2 linked regions of the Neodiprion lecontei genome follow. The protein of the gene in region 2 interacts with the protein of the main gene of each other region in a biochemical or structural test. Links are inferred from orthologs where the notes say so. Each region holds a gene or a part of one and is shown on either strand. Other genes may lie near its edges.

Region 1 (10,253 bases), on a different chromosome or scaffold from region 2:
TTTTTTACGAAGCTTGATTACGAGTTTAAATTTGAAGCTGATTAAAAAATTGTAGAATTTCACTGACGCGTCTCCTTAAACTATACGCTAATATTGCGCGGTATTGTACAGTCGAGGTTTGTCACCCGTGAAATAAGTTTGCTTTGGTATATCAATTTAACTAACGGTGTAGTAGGTAAAAAAAAATAAAAAAATTAATAGTCAAAATTGGTAATAAAATTCTCTAAAAAATTACAGCAAGTGAAATGGTGATCAATGAAATCAATCAACTTTCTATGAAAATTTCCCAAAGAATTTAGGAAACTTCTGTAAAAGTTACGAAACTTTCGAAATGCTACGTCGTGTCTTCTTATGAGGATGGAAGCTTCCGCGTAACGAGTTTAGAATTGAATTTACTTGCAAACGAACTCCCTTAAATTCATAAAACTTGAATATCCACTCGTTCTCATTAAAACCGTTCGACGAGATTTTTTTGATTTTTTTTTTTTTTGCAAGAATTTCGGTATCATCTTCCGCACCAAAGGTGTTGAACCTCTTTAAGTTCTGGGACTGGTGCTTTCGTACCAGTTAATTACTCGTGTCCAAGAATTCTTTTTCCGTGGACAGTAACACGATAAATAATAAAATCAATCCAGTTAGATCGGAAACTAAGTTTCTCCTTACATTCTGACTTCTGATAATAAACGAATTTTGATCAATCGGGTGTATTCGGCCTCAAGTTCATCATTTCGCTATACTTTTGCATAGCTTACAAATTAGTTTCATTGACTCCTCGAAACCTCGTTATTACAGCTGATCTCAAAATTCCAAGCAACACACACAAAATCGGAAGAATATTGGACGAATGAATTAGAACAAATGAAAAATAAGGTTGAAGTTAGCAACGTTATCCTAACGACGCATATTCGTAAAGATGAAGCCGATATTTTACAAAACGAGAATTTTCCAAATCTGAGTAAACAGTGTGAAAGAGTAAAACAATATAGATACTTATATTTTGAAAAATTCAACTTTTATCCATCAAATTCCCTCCAAAACTGCGCAATATTTATTTGTTCCTGGCGATTCGTAACGTTACTTACATTGGTATGAAGAAAAAAAAATCAATCAAGCACACTTCCGTGTCGTAGTGGCAATGGAATAGCGAAACAATGATTACACAGGTCTGCGTTTTTTTCCCCCAAAGTTCTTTTACCGGAGCGTTAATATTCGTGAGAGTAATCCTGAATGTAATATAAAACGATATTCATATGATATACACCGCGTCACATTCATCAGCAGATTTAGCTGAAACTGTGTTTAAATGGAAAATGTGTGCAAACTACAGGTTGAACGAAATAAAACCACCTATATCTAAAGCTTCGATTACACCGGTCAACGGTGGTTTTGTTGCCTTTGATATTTGAACAGCCTTATTATTAGTAAGATTTGATGTCAACTACCCTAGGAATAAACGGAGTTATTTGAAACTGGTTCTAGTTATTTATTTCATCAACATTTTTATGTATGACTTAAAAAAGCAATATTTAGATGAAAAATTCATTTTTTATTTAATATCTAAGGTTGATCAGAAAAAAAATACTGCCCAAATAGCTAATAATAGGAAAAAAAAATTTTTTGCTACCCTGAGTTTTTCTGTGAATTTTGGTGTTTGAGAACGTAAAGTTTAGAATCCCCCCCCCCCCCCCCCCCCCCCCCCTCTCCTATAATACTACAATAATATAAAAACTAACGCAATCCTAATATAAAGTGAACTTGGAATCTCATATTACACCCAAAGTTTTTACAGTTGCTTAATATTTCTTGGATTTTTTACGGTGCCTAAGAATTTCGAAACAACAGTTCTGAAGGAATTACAGACATTTATTTCTGAGACTGTCACGCACATCCTAAAAGTGTGCATCTTCGTACCAACGAAGTAAGCGTGAATTTACTAGATTACCCGTTTGAAAGATATAAAAATACTTATTTCAATGGAGTTATTTTGAAAAAAAAAGTTCCGCTTTTCTTCGACTTTCACGGCTACGAATTATTGAGTATAAAAAATCAACTCCGGGTTCCTTGTTGAGAGAATTTAATGCCCTGCAAGAATATGCGTGAAAAATTATTCCATCTCAAACGGTTCAAAGGTCATAGAATTTTTAACGAAGCAAAATTTTCTCGCGCGTAATTCAAACGTAAAATTTCAAATGGTCAGCGACACCTTCCAAAATTGAGCAAAAAAAATTTTCCCCAACGGTACAATTGTTTCTTCTCAATAAACGGGTTCCTTTCAAGACCACAAGTTCGATAGGTTAGTTTTTTTTTTTTTTTGGCTCACCCTAACAAACAAGCACAAGTATTCGGAAAAGTTTTATTTTCGTTACGTCAACGTAACCAACTCCAACCTCGAAAGGCGAAAACGTGACTTCCGCTCACCTTCAAGCTCGACGACCTTTCCGGCGCGCTTCAGAGCTTTGACGGCCTCGTCGTGAGTCGCTTCCCTGAGGTCCTCGCCGTTGACGGCGAGTATGGCGTCGCCGACGTAGAGTTGCTCGGTGGCGTCCGCGGCCATGCCCTTGAATATCTTCGATATAAGAATGGGCATCTTGTTCTCCTTGCCGCCCTTTATCGATATGCCGAGCCCGTTGTTGTCGCTCTTTACGACGCGTACGACGCGTTTCTGGTTAGCAACGCTGTCCGGTACGTCGGGATCGTTCAGACTGTCTATGTTGTTGTTGTTTATGTTGCCATTGAGGGAACTCGCGTTCTCGCAGCTCTCGTCGAGCGTTATACTCAGGTAATCGTCCTCCAACGACACGAACACTCTGTACCACTGACCCCGCACCTGCGTCTCCATCACCCCCGCTCTTCCCACCCCCGCACCGACGCCCGAACTTCCGGTCACAACCCCCTGACCGCCCCCGCCGCTTCCCGCGCTGTTCAACTCAACCATTTCGATTTCCTCGAATGTCTGCTGGACCCGCTAAACACGAAAAAAAAGATTCAACGCATTACCGACCGTCGGTAAAAACGCAAAAAAGGGTTATGCTGCTCATTGTCGATCTAACTGTCGTGTTAAATCTTCGAAATTGTGATTCTCGTTTTTTACCTTTCCGGTACATGAGTTTCAATTTTTTCAAATAAAGATACTGTACTTTTTTTGCTGATCGAAATTGTGACGAATTATGAACAGGGTCAATTTAAACGGTATGAGAAATTTTAGGGCGTTGGTATTGCTCGTGGGAAAAAAGTTATACCCTCAATTGTTTTTTTCGGTGTGGTTTTACAGTACTGAGAGAACCACCGCGTGTCATCGACATTTGAGGTTAGATACATCTCGATTTATCCACGACGTTGCAGCTCGTGCAGTGGTTCTCATGCCGCTGTGAAAAACCGTATCGAAAACAGAAAACAATCGAGGATATAAAATTGCGCCCACGGTCAATACGCCCTGCAATTTCGTACCGTAAAGATTTCAAACCGCAGCTATATATTGCATTATCTACACCGATCGACGAATCTATTTACGAAATATTTGAATAAATTGCCTTCGGTAGATTATTATGCTTCGTATCAATTCTTTTGGTGAACTGGATAATAGATACACAGAATATTATTTATACACGTAGGTACATGTAATACGATTCGTATTCGATATTCCAATTTGTATGTTTAGTGTATAACTTGTGTGTTAATTTTTGTATCTTTTGAGGTTAAAAAAGCATACGTGATAATTATTAAAAATATATAAAAATTATTTTAAAAAATCACGAACCGGAAAAACAATTTTAACGACTCCACACAGAATAAGCATCTTATATATAGCGTAAACTTTACTTGCGAATGCAATTATAAGAATTTAAGGTCAGATGTTCGGTTTATATAAAGGTATAGGTGAAAGTTCATGAATATAAAAGGCACGATTTAAAAAAATTATGATAAAAGTAGTGAAAAATATTGACGGCAACGAGATAGAAAGGTATAGGTGTATTGAAGTAAATGCGAAAAACGAAAAAGGAAGTGGAGAGAAAAGAAAAGACAAGAGATTGGTGTGTAGGTATATGGGGCATTCCGTGACATCTCGATCAAGATTCTACGTCGATGTCTCAGATTGACTTTATAGTTTTTTCGTATAAAAGTACACGACGAAAAACGCGATTGTAATTTTTTTTTTAGAATTTCCGACCCAGCGTATCTGAATTATGATTTAAAAATTTGAAAAAGCAGAAACCCCACTTTCTAAAATCTGAAAAATCTTGTAAAATGTAACAAAATTTTTGACACCTATTAAAAGTTGGAGATTTCATAACGTCGAGAAATGAATAATAAAAATGAAAAAAAAAATACTGCTATTACATTGCATTTTCGACACAAGAATTGACGTACAAGCTCATTATAATATCTCTCCGAGTAGATATTTTCCGGATTTTTTATGAATTTGTTCAGATTTTCGATAGTTAAGTTTGTTTTTCAAGTTTTTAAATTATACTTCAGATACGCTGGGTCGAAAAATTCTGAAAAAAATTGCGATCGCGTTTTTCGTCGTGTACTTCCATAGAAAAAAATTATAAAGCCAATCTGAGGCATCGAAGTAGAATCTTGATCGACATGTCATGGAATGCCCCGTATACATATACATGAATACACGAGAGAAAGAAAAATGTAAGAGAGGGGATGAGAGTTTCCCAAGGAGGTAACGAACCGACCAACGAGTTTTCGAACGAATTGAACGAACGCTGCTGCCCGCCACGTGCGCTGCTGGCTTCTGTTGCCTGATGATGCTGCGTCACTGCTTGCAGAAAACTTCACCCTCGATACGTATATACGTGTACAATTGTACATACTGCGCATAGGATAAAAGAAAGAAAATAAAACCAACGTGGAAGAAAAACAAAAATCCAAAAATCCCCGCGTAAATCTTGCGACGAAATAAGCGTGAGAGAATTAAGAGAAGAGAAGAGGCAAAAAAAAAAAGAAGCAGAAGGAAAATAGAAAAAAACGTGGGACGAAAGAGAACAAACGAGATATAATTGAACGAATTAGAACGCGGATAGAATCATTTAGTGCAAATAACTGTATATAAAGTATAATAGTTGTACAATTGCTAACTTCACGAATGTTAGGAGAATTACATACGTACAGGGTGTACAGTTATTCAGCGAAAAAAACTATTTTTCAGACAAATGTCAGAGGATGATACATAAATAATCATACAGTTTTCGGCGATTTCTTGTACATCTTGTACAATAATATATTGAAAAAAACCGGAACCCGATTTATTGCGACAGATTTTCATATGAGCTTTTTAAATTGACTAACAACAGCTGACAGTAAGAAGAATTCTATTTTTCCGTCAGTTTGAAAAAACAAACAAACGGAGAATAAGAATAAAAATACAAAAAAGTAACCGAACTATTTATAAGATAAAAGAGTCTAATTAGAAAACTAACGAACCTCCGTACATAATCTTCCCCCTCATTTGTCAAAGTTAACACTCTCATTATATTATACCGGAGTCCCCTTAAATTCCTGCGTGACAACTATCTAACACACCTATATACACAGGTATATTGTACACGTGTGTGTGCCTCGCAGGTATAATTAAAACTTTTCCGGTTATATTTCGTACAACGGTGGCGATGTGTTTGCCATTGAAATTGAGTCGTCAACAATTATTTGCTACTTGGAAACACTGAATTCAGCAATTAGTTACAAAATTTATACATCATACAATCAGCATGCTGCTGTTTAACGCTGAATTGAACCGATCGTTAATTCGCAATATAAAAGAGCAGGATATTTCACAAACAAGAATAAAGTTCTGGTAAATTAACTCGAGTTATGTAATTCACCGGATTTCAACTAGATATATATATATATACGCGTGTACGTATAATAGGTACATACATACATTGCGTGAAAAACGTATATGAAACTGCAGCTAAAACGAAAGGTGAACGTAAGGCATACACAATATATAATGAAATATAATACGTATCGACATAAAATATACGTGAAAAAAGAAAGAAAAGTGGAGATAAAAAAATCCTATCACCGACAATTAGAATGAAATAAGAATAAATGTTACAACAACAATAATAACAACAACGACAATAATAATAATAATAATGATAAATAATAATAACTCAATTACCTCGTACAAGAAAAAAAGGCAACGTTATTACCAACGTAAGTTACTGAGATCGATTCGTTATGCAACCGGGCAAACTTAATCAAGGACACAACTATGTAACGATGCGTGTGATATAATAAAAATAACGTGTTTAATGTACGTGTAGTTCAAAGTGTTGGTATTCGTGTAAGGTTTTTTTGCTTTTTCACTCTTTTTTTTCCTCCTCGTTGTCTAATCTTTCGCAAATTTATAACCCTTTCTCACTAATCTGCAATGTAATACGATATTGATTATACGTGAATAGTGATATTTTGTTAATTATTATATATTACCGATTTATGGGCGTGTATTGGCATATATATGACGTTCTTGTCGATTAGCCTATTTGAATTTTCGTAAAAATGTTCTCTTTCTCCCTTCTGTTGTTCAATCATTCGTGCATAGTTTTTGTCCAATTTTTCGAAAAACCCGCCGGTTCTCTGATTCTACGTCACCACTCTTCAATCAAGTACACGGGGTATTACGAAATTCGAGGCTGAGAGAAAAAACTGATTACTGCTAATCCATGACTACAAGAGGCGAACAAGAATTAACGATAATTCTTCATTCACTTGCCACGATTACCCTTGTTGTTGTTGTTATTATTATTATTATTGCTATTTTTATCGTTACGATCTATGTTGTTGATTTCTTTTCTTCTTCTTTCACAGGAAATTGAGGCAAAGTGCAGTGTCAGCGACATTTCGGTAATAACAAACTCCAGTCGTCGGATTCCGGCTACCGCAGACACAATAATTATTACGCCGAATATCCGTGTCCGGAGTCTCGCAATAATTTATTTATAAATATTGTGAGAGTTACTCAATTGCACATTTCAAGCAGAATAACGAATCAATCCTCGTCTTAGATTCACTCCGCAATGACCCGCAATTACTATTATTCTTTCGAGGCTAAAATGCGCCACCGCACGCTACGAATTATTTCTACTACAATGATAAACTTTGAAGGATGGCGACGCACCGATTCGTTCTTAGGAATCAATCAATTAACAGTAATTTTGCAGATATAAAACTTGGAAAAGAAAGGCGAGCGAGAAAATAGATTGAGAAAAATAAAAGAACGCGAACGCGTTTTTCACCTGTTTACTTATTCACCATCCGTCTATCTTGTTTTCGACTTCTAGCTTCTAGCTTCTAGCTTCGTTTATCTCAGTTCCCCGTAGTTTCCTTTCCACCTTTAACCAAAACTGTGACGATAAGAATTGCCGATAATAACGGAGAGCTCGGTACGCGTCCGGCTATCAACGATCAACGTGTTTGTTACAAAACAATCGACGATCAGGGGCTAACTTCAAGGCGTCCGAACCCGGCAGCCCGACAACTGAGCATCGCCGACCGTTCGAAATTCCCCGATATCCCTGGTTTTGGCGGGCTTTAAGTTTCTCACACACCGTCCGAAGCACTTCACGAACTTGCACACACACACACTCACAGGCCTTTTTCACAAGAAAAAAAAAAAATAAACACACTCGGCGCTGTTAATCGCCGACTTTCACTCGTCGCCGACTTCGCGTTGTTTACCACTTGCCACTCGGCCGCGCCGATCCGTTCCTAATCCCAGTTTACAACACGCCTCGGACGAGTTCGGGCGATTCTGAGAGGCCGGTTTACTCACTACACGGGAGAATTCCACTCGAGCATCGCTCAACGCGTTTAAAGTAACCGCGACGCAAAATCGCCGCCCAAACGAATGACAACCGAACACGTTTCACCGACGCGATCAGCGCCAGACTGAGCCGGAATCTCGAGGGCGGCACGAGCTACCGGCGTTCGAATCGCTCGTTACCCGCCGGTGAACCCGACGCCGAATACCGGCGACCCTCGACGCCAGCGACCCTCGCGGATCGTATCCGCACTTGTTGCGCCGCGCTGTCTCTCTCGCACCCCCCTCCCTCTCGACACCTTCCACCTTTCGACGTCCCCCCTCCTTTGCCGCTCGCTATCGACTCGACCTAACGGCTTTTTCGAACTTCCCGCCCCCAAAATTCCACACCAGGGTTTTTACACCGGAGGTGATAGGAATGCGACTGCTCACAGTCACGGATTTAATCAAGACGTGTAATTCGTAGTTTACAGTTTTCTAATGCACGGAGAAACGAGATCGTTCCAAACTTAGCGAAATTATATCATTTTCAATTAGTAGTCGGCCAAGGAGTTCGGAAAATTCGATGAAGCGATTGATATACTTACATACATCAGATTCTCGATTACCGATTAGGCAAGATGACGGGTTACGATTTAACAAAATTTTAAATCAATTTATTATTGATCAGAAATAAGAAGAGTTTGTAATACGATTTTCTGATTTGTACGATACGGAAATTTGTCGTGAAGGCAGCTGTCCTGAAAAAAATCCGAAATACGGCTATCGACCTTTTTGCAATGTGTTCGAAAGTGCCACTGAACTAGCGATTACGGCACCTGGGGCTAACTTCAAGCTGCGCAACTCGTATTTTACAGTTTACTTCTCTTTTATAGAGTTACGAAATAATCGTTTCAAACTTCGGGAAAGTGGATTGTTTACAATTGTACTTCAGTGTCGTCGCTGAAAGAAATTCAGAAAATTAATCAAAAGATCGAGTGTACTTATGTCAAATTTTCACTCTATACTTTGAGATTATACGCTATTGATATCTGGGTACCGTGTTTCACTATGCTTTTTTTCTTTTCGCATCAATTTTTTACCACTTTTCTCAAATACTACACAAGCAGAGTGGCAAAGACTATGATTTTCCAAAATTAGAGCGGATTTTGTGAAATTCTAAACCGAACGAATGTATAAAACACGACTTTCTCCCTTCACTGACACTCCGACAAATCTCCCAGGAACGTAATCCTGGAAAAATCCAAAATATAATTCCCAAGTTGTTTTGTGCAGTGTGGCAGCAATACCCTTGAACCGGCGACGCTCCTGTTGATATGCGACAAGATACACTTATGGACAGTCCGTTTGCCTGCGGTGAGGAAAAAACGAGTTAAGAGCGGAGAGCGGAAAAATAAAGTAATAAAAGAAAAAACGCTGTACATGCTCGGCGTAATGAACCGTGAAAGAATAATATTATTATTAGGAGTAACAGGCTGCAGGATAAAATTTTGAGTAATGGCTCGTCAAGTGTGACAGCCAGAAATGATCGATCGTGTACATAAAGCCGGCAGTCTTACGGGTTAAAGTGATGCGGATATAACGTAATTTTTCTTCCTATATACTTTATTCGCCGTTGCCTGCCCATTGTCAGCTGCAATCTAGAAATTTCTCTCTTTTTTTGTTTTTTCCTTTTTTATTCTTTCTCTATTTATTTTTCTCTCTTTGCTCAAGATCGACGCTCCGATCCATTATAAGAAAAAAATGCAAACTTCGCTACTCAGAGCGCGCCCCTGTGTAATTTTATTATGTGTTCTTATAGTCTCTGGAGCCCAAGCTTAATTACTGCTGAATAGACGCTTCGGATTAAGTTTGAACCTGAGAACGGGAATTCGTGATTCATTTCTTCCGGAAACGGAACACAAGCTTGCATATACATGTATAAATTATTTTGGGCTTAATCAATCGCTAGTTCCCCGAATTATAGAGATGTACTATTCAATTCCAGGAAAATTCCAATTAGCAGCACAATATCCCCTCAAGTGTACCCTCAAAGATTTAATTGAAATTCGGCTTTTTAATAATTTACGATCCAATATTCGATCACACGCAGTACAAAAACGCTGTCAAACAAAATTATTCAACTATTTTTACTAACAAAATGCATTTCATTGATAGTAATTTCAATTTTTTAAGTTTTGCGATCAAATTTTTCGTTCAACATTTATAAACAGTTGAAAGTATTTTATAAAAATACTTTCGAACAACGATCATTCGAAATGTAAATTTCTTTGGAAGATGTTCAGGCGTCGTATTAAGATAGAAAAAATTCTTCACGATATTGAAAAATTTGACGGTCAATCGTTTATTGAGTTGGCGCGGAATACCCCATATACGTAATATATAAAAAGATTATAACACGAGAGGGTGGTAAACTGGTCATAAAACGAGCAACGCTCATTTACCGTCAGGCGTAATTAACAAATGAGTCGGCGAG
Region 2 (10,720 bases):
TAACCTTTTAAAATACTTTTACTAATTAACTAACAAACCTGTATAAAGTTCCACCTTCTATTAGGACAAATCCTTTCAAGTTCAGTAAAAGTTTGTTTGCCTGTTTTTCTGTCAGGTACATCGTAATTGATAGTGGCAGCTTCCTTTGTGCAATTTGAATTTGGATTCTTTATTTTCTCAAAAGCAACGTTAATTAAATCAATTTCTTCATTTTCTGGGACAAATTGATTAGCGATAACAGCTAAAATTGCAGAATCCAATCCACCCGAGAAAAGTATACCAATTTTGGCATGCTTGCAGTTTACTTCTTCACCATTCAGATACAAGCTTATACAATTCCTGCAGTAGTTAGGTTTTTTTCTAACTCTAACTTCGACAGAACTTCTCAGAAACCTTAAAATGTTTTCCACTCTTTGGTATACTTCCTTGTTTTCTAATAGCTGTTCCATTATTTGACTGAAATTTTGATTGTAATCAATGTTTTTGAGATATTGGACATCTTTGATCTCTGGATCGAGATATAGAATTGAATTATCAATTTCTGGTTTGACAATGGTTTCTTTTACATCAATATCCATGTTCAAACTTGTCTCAAGATCTTCAATAATATCTGTGAACCTAAGATTTGGTTCTTTCCATGGATAACAAGTCAAATTGAACTCTTCACAGTTTAAGTTTGTTACAAATATTCCAATTGCTGGTACCTCTGTCATATTTTTCACATTTTTATTCCCAACAGAGCACAATGTCAGCAAAGTCTTGTCCTCGTTCAATTTTATTAATAGACTGTGTCTACCGATCGAATCTCGCCCAAAGTACAAACAATTGTCTGACTTATTGAAGTATATAAAACTATAAGGTCCCTGGACCTCCAACAGTGTTGCGACAACATTTTGGGAAGAACTGAACCTTTTTAGCAGTGTCGTTGTATCACACTCTGTATCGCTTGCCTAAAGAAAGGAATGGATTTTTTGTGTGACATAATTTTGGTACATTTTACAAAAAATGTTCTGAGCAACACATTGAGACGTGTACCTTGGCATACATCATTGCCAAATTTTCTTCACCTAGTATAATATGCGATTAAAATGATTCAATTCCCCGAAAGTTACCATATTATCTCGGACAATTAAGGAAACAGTGAAGATAAAATTTTGGAATTTTTGTCTAGGTTAGTAATTTGCGACTAATGTTGTTGTCCAATTTTGAGTGATTTCTTGTTTTTCCCCGACTTAACCCTTTGTGGCACAGCATCTTACATATGAGACACCTTTTATGAATTGGTTATTCAAGATTTATATTCAATTTTTGAGATATCACTGTCATTTTTTTTGCCTAATTTGTCTTCTAAGATGTCAATGTTGATGTTTTAAGAGGGGTTATGATGATTCCACGAATACAATGAGCACTATAAATAAACAGTTTTGAAAATGCTTGTTTTTACAGAATAAATGTAGTTGTGGGAAGGCTGTGGGAACCAGCAAAGTGGAACTCGTTAATCCGATATCAAAATTTGAAAATTCAGAATAGCGGATCCAATATGGCAGTCTAGGAAAAGATAAAAATTGATCATGCTGGCTTGAAATTTGTTAGTTCGAGGGTTTTTGGCGACACTGAAAACGAATCCGATGTCGGAATTGCAAAATTCAAGATGGCGGACTGAAATCATAAAAATTGATCCTATTCACTCATATTAGATCCACCATTTTGAATTTTGAAAATTTGTCAGATTTGACCACATTTTTGAAATCAGCAATGTGGCGAACCCTAATGTACCGAGCTTTAAGAAATTTGACTGCAAGGAAAAATGTATGCTTCAGAGGGTTAATTGCCATCAGCTGATTGTTAATAAATTTTGAAAACAAGTACAACACATTGTTACAGAAAATATTACCAAATCTCTTTGGTAGGAAGAACTACTTGGAGGTTTCAGTATAAGCAAGTTTAATAAATATGAGATGTTATAGCATTTTTTTTTTTTATTGTTCATTAGTATAATAATCTTGTTCAAGAACAGAGTGTGGGCTAGTTATAAACGCATGATGCCCTTTATCCTGTGTCGGGAACAACATATGATATTGACAAATAATTTTGCAGTTTCTTTTTACTGCAAATATTCCAGTCATGGAAACAGTGGAAATAGAATTCAGAACAAAAGGCTTCATACTTTCACAAAACTTCTTGATTTGCTAATGTGTTCACTCACCAAACTTCCATTAAAAACATCTCCATTCCACAGTAGGACATTACCATTAACATCAGAATCTGTACATGGCTGCATGACAGGGTTGCTTCCTTGCATCCATAAAATGCTCGCTGCAAAATGGCCGTCCCACTGTTTGGCTAATCTTCGGAATAGTTCCGAAGTTCCATCAGGACCTCTGGCATTCATTGCACCTTTGCACTTTGTCCACTGAAATAATTATTCTATATAATACCAATTGTCTCACAATAAGGAGGTATGAATGAGAAGACGGGTGAATAAGCGGGTGAATTAGGGAATTCAAGTATTCACGAGCAATTATACAAATTAATTCGGGTGTCTTTTATTCAAAAATATATAGATCAAGCTTGATTTAATGAGTTTTTCATTGGAATCTATTGATAGGTAGCATTGCTATCGACAATAACGTCAACTATTTCGTTCCAAGACATGTTTTGTAGTATCTACGATATTTCTAAAATAGTACAACCAATTTATTTCACATTTGAGGAAACTATTTTCAAATAGCTTATTCACTTTACCACGATCTCACCTTTGTACTAGTCTTCTTTTTTCTTTTTTTGTTAAGGCAATAAAAAAGTTAGATATTGGCTGAAAAATAGAATTTCAACTTAAAATGGGCACAATTATGCTACCGAGACAAAAAGGTCGTGATGTTGAGGATAAACTGTCCAATTACACTGTTTCCAAAGTTGAAATAAATTGGTTGAGCCATTTTTAAGATTCCGTGTATACCGCAAAACATGGCACCGAGTGAAATAATTAATGTAAGTATAAGGCACAAATCTCATGATCTGCATTCTGTCTTGGAAAAGCGGTACTACCATGTATTCAACACTCCTCCTGGTTAATTATTTTAATTTTTTAATTTTTAAGTTAGTTTAACTTGAGTTTTTGCATTGCAAAAATAAACTCAAATTTAATTAAACTATTCAATATTCCAAAAATATTTATATTTGTGCAATTTCACCAAAATTAAATTGTTTGCAATTACTCCTGGGCAATCACACTAGGTCAATTTGTCCCAAGCAGAGTTATACTTGGGAATTCCCGACAAACCGAAAAGGAATAAGGCGCAGCTTCCATTTCCAAAAAAACTTCGTACAGGTAAGTTCTGGCCGTCCTCCACCCATTTGTTCTTGAGCTACAGCGGTTTAAACTTGAGGGGACAAAAACGACCCCGTGCAACCGCCGTCTGAGTAAAACTTGGGATTTAAAAGTCTTTTTGATCTTTTTTTTATTTAAAAGACTTCTAATGGTGCATTAAAATGTGTAAATCAATGTCTTAATTGACTGATTTCTTTATGTCCAAACAACAGGTATAAGCATTCTTTTCCAAAAGAGCAATTCATTTTTTTTTTACTTAGTGTTAGTTTTCATTTCTAATTTCGTGTTTGCTTAAAGATAATATTATTTTTGCAATAAAAAATGTTGTTCGATTTATTTTTCATAAAAATCATTAATTTGCATCTCTTTGAAATTGTGCATTTCCAAGCTATCCAATAATTATAGTTTGGGGCAGAAACGATCCAAACTCAATTATTCTTGAACATTAGGGTGTCCATGACAACAATCCATGGTAATTTGTTGTTCAGTATAGCACATTTTTTACTTCTTGAAATTGAGGCCAAAACATGGTTTTCTGGCGTTTTCGTTCAGATACTAATGCATAATATAAGATACAATAACTTTTGTACTCAAATAATTATGGGTTCGATTTTAGAAAGATTCAAGAGTATTCATGTATTTTTTTAGAAGTTCTTAAGCAATTTAACACGTTGACAACTGTACATGGACGGCGCACCCAGTGTGACTGCGGAAATAGCTAAATTACATTGAGACCACACAGGGTTAAATGTAGAAAGTAACATTTGAATAAGATCATGAATATTCCTTAAAATATGTTAATATACGGCGTGACTCTGGCTAACGCCCTATAAGATAGCTGTAGCAGGACAACTGCCAAGTGCATGTCGATCCGCCAGCTCTGTTCACAACCTACAGATGCTGTCAGATTAACCAATTTTTCAATAACTGTAATGAGCAAATAACAAATCTCCTATCAGTTTCGGTCACAGATTTCTATGTGGAATACATTGGTAGCCATGTAATTCTGAGTAGTTTTATATATTACAGTGAATAAAATTAATTGGCTAACATTTGTTGTGTTACCAAAGCCCCCCGCCAAGTGTAATGCTAAACCTAGCTAGATATTATTTAAAACAACACGATGAAGTACAATGGTTACAATTTGGTGAAAACTCATATAAAATTAAAACTTTGATAGAATGACAAATGAAAAACAAATTCGCTTCGTCTTGCTTAAAGAAAGTTTAGCATGTTTGGCTACTGACAATAAGCTTTATTTCCATCAGCTCTGTAGATTTTACATGTGTATATCCGATCATGGGTTTTTTTTATGACCAGCAATTCGATTAAACAGATTCGTTAGTTTCTCTCTCTTATGTGGAATTTGAAAGTTTCTAGATGCCCGATTCAAAAATTCAAACTATCGTGTGTACGTTGTCATGTGCCTTCGGCAAATACTGGGAGGTAAGTAGTGGTAAAATTTGTTGGAAATGAATTTGCGTGGCGTGAAGACGTGAAAAAACAAATACCTCAGTGCTTTTCGAGTCAATTCCTGCCTTTGAAACATCATTCTGGTCTCTACGAGACACCGAACAATATATTCCACACATTGGTCTGTCAAGTTCACCTAACACTAACCTAACTACACGCTTGAACCGAACCGCAAATCGCGTTACAAACTAGGGTAATCAGCGTCTCTTCTATCGCCGTGGCGGTATCTTAGAGCATATATACATACACAGTATATGCTCTAATGCTTTAAGCTGTTTTCTCACGTGCAGCAAACAGCTGGGATGTGGCAACAGCAAAACGCTCTCATTGGCTGCTTGCTACGTTACTATACTCCCTATACTCTTTGGTTATAAGCACGGTCTTAATAGACAGGTCTGGGAACTCCGACTATAAAAACGTGCTCGAAAATGAAGCCAATGTTGTGAATTTTCGCCGCTAGCGCTAGTGAAGGAGAGGCCTACTTAGGCCGTGTTCGAAAATTGACTGACAGTACTGTCAGCAATCTTTTATCTCTTTTGCGCTTCCAAGTTCGTGGATAGCTCTGACTCTGTCCTAGGGAATTTTGAGTACTCTCAGTCAATTTACGAACAAGGCCCTAGTACGCATAGACCTGTAACATCCGACCGGAACATCCGTATGTTTTATCGACTATTATTACTGCATCTTACTTTTATCAACTAACCAAACTCGAAGTACGAGAATCTTGTAACCATAAGGAATTAAAACAACTGACTAACTATTTGGAATATCCCTAGATGGAAATAACTATGACATTCACTAACCAAAGCTTAAAAACCATGTTACGAGATCTTCGCACTACAAAGAGATATAATATTATTATACGTTATTATATATCACTATCATATTAACACCATAATTAACTAACACGATTATATCCAATTATTATATAGCACTCGACAATGCCATTTGTGCATTCGGAGCTGAGAGCTATACTGGGTATGTTTCGATATACACTGCGAGCACTGTTCAGTGCTCTTACTGGGGAGAAATTCGTTCCGTTATAGACGGACAGTATACAGTCGCAGCATCCTAGGGAAATATATGACGTCATAAATCGTCGCCATTTTTCTACTGTGAACACTGGTGCTTTCGAGGTAAGGTGCTCTCAGTGCTTTGATCACGTGATCAACAGCGTTCAGAAATTGAACAGCTTCCACTATTGATAATTATTATTATTGAATATTGTCATTTAAAAATATCGGCCGTTAAAAACAAAAATGGAAAATTTGAATAAATTGTGTTTATTGCAATGTGAAACAAATATTATGTATGAAATGAAATTAACGCCAAAAAATGTCGATCACAGTATACTGTACTGCGTTCCGTTTTAAGCAGTAACCAGTATAGCTAACTATACAGGAACGGCTTGGCAGTATACTAAATTGACGACACACCTTACAGTGCTCGCAGTGTATATCGGAACATACCAACTATAAGCAACTTACGCCATACCATATAGCCTGGAGTATAGAAAACTGTAAAACCATAGATAAATATATAACCAATATAATGTAAAGATAGCACTGCTGCAATAACCCATAAAACCAGAGACTGCAAAACCTTCAAAACCGTGAATACTAATTATCCAGCATGAACTATACCTTCCTCCGTAACGCCGTATTGAAGGCAACACGAGCAACGTTTTGAAGGCAATGCAGATCTCCAATGTGGAGCCATACAGAGCTTCATCTAGAGAACACATTAGGAAACTTACCGACGAAACGATTGAAGGTAAATCAACTCGTAATAAACTCAAAGATGCATACGTGGCAACGCCCAATGACAGGCAACCAACAAACATAAGAAAAACGTTCTAGAAGCTTCCAAGCCGATTTATATCAATATAAGAATTAATAATTACAGAAGAGAATTATATACGAAAGCACACATGTAAACCTGCTCTAAAATTATGGATTATCAAATTGTTAAATACCCTAAATCTGTTAAGATAATTATAACACAAACACCTAAGAATATTCGCAGCAGCGCGATTTTAATAATGTTAAGCAAATAGCAACTATGTCTCATAAAAAATCGCTATTGTACTCCAGGTGAATACCGACAGTAATCAATTATAATACATATGTAATTTTATATAGATACACGCTATAAAACTAACAAACGACGAGTGACCAATATGACATATGGACTTTGTAACGAGCAAGATAGTAAAAATATTAAGAAGTAAACAGGAACTAGAATTAAGCGCATCGTGACCCTGAAAATGCACACGGCACTAACATAAAACATGAGTCACCACTAGCGCATACGCACTGCGATTACTATATTAGGAAATAGCTGCCAATAGCACAAGACGGGGGAAGAAGCACAGTAGCCGAGGGGCCAAGGGGGGCTTGCGCCCCAACAACAAAGCCCACGCAGAATGGAAAATTACAGAACAACGACCCCGCACCTACATCACCGCACCAGTGCAGCGTTATACCATATGTAAAAACTTGCAATATAGTAATAGCTAATGAACTAAGATCACAGGCGTGCATGCGGCGAGGAGATCGTGTCCTAATTAGAATTCCTAGAGAAAGGGGAAGGTGCGCAAAAGGTGACAAAATCTAAAGAAGGGGATCGTTCTGCGCAACGATCGACCCCTATAAAAACGGCCACCGATCACCCGATCGTCTTCTTGGTTTCTACCACCAGATTCGTCATCTTGTTCCGGTACAGTCTCGCGGTAAAATCCTTTTGCCTTTTGCATTTAAACTTTTCATACAACGTTACTCTGCCCAAAAGTCCAGCGAGCTTTCAGCTCCATTTTGTCATATTAATTTAAGATCTTACACTAAGTAACTCCGTTTTTGTGACTTGAAATATTGAACTTGTAAAATAAATCCAAGTTAATCAAAGTATCCAAATATATTAGAATCAGTTATTCCGTTAAATCCTCTCACCAATCTACGCTGTAAGTCATCATATCCAGAGTATTCTCAAGAGGTAAGCCAATTAATTAAATTTTTTATCCAATAATTACTCCTTCCTCGGTTCGTTCGATTAGAGCGACAGAATGCCCGTTGTCCGGTGTATTTCAATACTTTATCGGTAATTGGTGACCCAAACTACTGATGTGAGTCTAACTGTGGCTGTGTGAATGATTCCGGTGTCTAACATCTGGAAATTTCCACCAGGTACCGTTCCGACGTCACATATAAAATTTTTTTTTGGTGCATCGGCCGGGAAACCAAACGTTATAATCGCGAAAAACTTTTTGTGACGCGAGTAGCGACCGACGGACGGCGGAAGTTTTGCGCGCTACCGACACGAACTGAAAATCATCCTAATCTCGCTCGATTTAATAAAATAACTCAACAAACCTGAATTTTAATACCCGTTAACTCGCCAAAATTCTAAAAATCAATGAGTCAGTCAAGAATTTTTCCATCCGCTCTGGAAATTTTCCATTCAAATATTTCTTCAATATCGCACCTACTGGGATCTCGTGTCACTGAGATCCCTTGTTTTCATCGAAATACTCTGTCGAACCAAGATTCCAACCTTTAATCGAAACCTCTGACAAATACCCTTTGTTCTCATAACGAATGCTCCCAAAATCGAACGAAATAAACGGAAGGAAACGCGGAACCATAGCAAAGCTTTAGGAACAATATACTCAGCCGATTATATTAAACGATCCGCACGAAATCCCGGACTCTGTAAAGGTCTGATATCTCAATAAACCGCTGAATTCTAACCATACCATCGGAACTTCTGAAGATATTTGCTATTACACGGGAGATACAGAAGAACGAATAAAAGAAAGAAATAAGCTGTTCGAGCCCCCAACGCGACCCAGAACGATTAGCGAAGAAGACGCAAAGATTAGGAAAAAGGCAAAAATTATTTCTGAATACCTCACGTTCAAACTTCCAACGATTTCCACCTCCTTTTCCTCCGACACGGAATCTAAAAGTTAAAATAAACCTTATTAACAAAAATTCAAATTCAGTCATCACATACGCATCGGTTATTGATCGGGAACCCATAAAATAAGGAGAGTTGTTCAGAACATCACAGCACCCCAACTCGTTATCCATATTCATAAAAACGAGTCAGAAATATTTTTTTTTTATTACTCTCAAGCTCCCCGCTATCAAACCTGTCCTGTCTCTCTTTCGTCTCAGCAGTCCCCGGAATTGTCGCTATTATACGAATCCCGAACAATTAATCCCCACTTCCAACCCAGTTATAAGCAAATAAATCCGATTGTGCAATCCCAACATTAAATGGGAAAGGAAGACCCTCCTGTCGATAAAAACGCTCAGCCGTAGTACATACTCCGCCTTCAGACCGACGACTTAGATCACAAGTTAGTACGCAGGGCACCCAATTATTTGAAGGGCAATTAGAAAATTTAGAGGAGACGAACGCGTCGGGAAACTCAAGTCTCACTCCCAAACAGTCACAAATCTCCAACGAAAATTCTAATCCAACGAATAAAAATTCTCCGGAGAACTCGAGAAAAACAGAAAAACCCACTCAAATACTTATTCAAACGCCTGATTCGGAAAACCAATCCCAAACACATATTAAGATTCCTCAGGAATTTAAAATGGTGAGCGAACCCGTTGCAAGTACAGGCGCAACCGCCTTACCCGCACCGACTTATCATTATATCTCAATTAAGGATGCCTTAGAGGCAGTCCCGGTGTTTGACGGCAATCCGTCCCAGGTTAGAAGTTTTGTGCAGGGATGCAAGGATGCACGCGAAATGGTTCCGCCTCAAGTCGAATTAAGCCTCGCGCGAATAATACGTGATAAAATCAAGGGAGTAGCTCGACGTGTGATCGAGAACGAACGGTTCGATACCGTAGACAAATTAACCGCGCGAATAAATGAGCTTTATGGACCAGCCAAATCCGTTAATCTGTGTCAGGGTGAACTAGGGAAAATTTTCCAAAGACTGAATGAAGACGTCGTGACGTACGCATCAAGGGTACGCGAAGCGATGGAAAATATAAGACAGGCATTCTTGCAAGAACAACGTAAAGATGATTTCGAAATTTTTACGCGAAATACCGAAGCGGACGGCAAAGCCGCTTTTCTGCGCGGATTAAGACCCGAAATCGACGGAAAAATCCCCACAGTACCCGGTACTCTAAAAGAACTGGTCGACGCGGTGATGAAAATAGAAAAACAGGAGAAAATTAAAATCCAACTTAGACGAGGAGATCAACCTAGCACAATTCAAGACGCTACGATAAATTACGCGATGTTTCAACCATATAATTGCGTTGTATGTGGAGTAAACGACCACGATAAATACGATTGCCAATATAATTCAGATAAAAGCTATTACGATCACCGTAAACCTCGGAACCAAACTTATGTTACCCAAGGTAATCGAGCAGACTATAGGGATAATTATAATTCGAGAGATGCTTATTCGGATGCTCGACGTAACTCGAACACCTACCAACTGCAAAATACCACTAACTCGCGAAATCAATTTCCGAAACATCAAAATCGTCAAATAAATTACCAACCGCAACCCGGTTACGATTCAAGAGAAAATCGTCCCAATCGACAACAGGGACCTCCGAATTTTAGTAACCAAGACAATTACAGTAATCGAAGGTCGAACTCCCCTAATCAACAAGGTTATCCTAGAAATAATCAATATCGCGAAAATCGCTATCAAGGGAACAATCAATACCGCGGAAACGTTTATCCCAACAATAACTTGTACCGTGAGAGAACTTATTCAAGGGACCCTAGCCCGCAGAGGTCACAATCAAATTTCAGACAGGGAAATCAGCGTCCAAATCAGTACGACGATAATCAAATAATTAGACAAATGCGTTATACTCCGCAAACAAATTATCAGCCCTACAATTCGAACCGACCTGACGAATACCAGACAGA

The links.
Region 1: the proteins of asparagine synthetase domain-containing protein CG17486 (region 2) and beta-1-syntrophin interact in a test that uses a peptide from one of them, tested with the Homo sapiens proteins (2 studies listed by IntAct, with this or other methods). The link is inferred for Neodiprion lecontei from reciprocal best matches to the Homo sapiens genes ASNSD1 and SNTB1.

The regions. Positions count from the first base shown.
Region 1 is NC_060263.1:19,317,468-19,327,720, forward strand, and holds the start of beta-1-syntrophin, read right to left. Parts: upstream 6,887-10,253; 5' UTR 6,550-6,886; coding exon 6,448-6,549; intron 2,966-6,447; coding exon 2,419-2,965; intron 1-2,418. UniProt on the Homo sapiens protein: Adapter protein that binds to and probably organizes the subcellular localization of a variety of membrane proteins. May link various receptors to the actin cytoskeleton and the dystrophin glycoprotein complex.
Region 2 is NC_060261.1:24,797,609-24,808,328, reverse strand, and holds the start of asparagine synthetase domain-containing protein CG17486, read right to left. Parts: upstream 5,132-10,720; 5' UTR 4,924-5,131; coding exon 4,843-4,923; intron 4,349-4,842; exon of another isoform or gene 3,219-4,348; intron 3,063-3,218; exon of another isoform or gene 2,757-3,062; intron 2,414-2,756; coding exon 2,207-2,413; intron 951-2,206; coding exon 39-950; intron 1-38.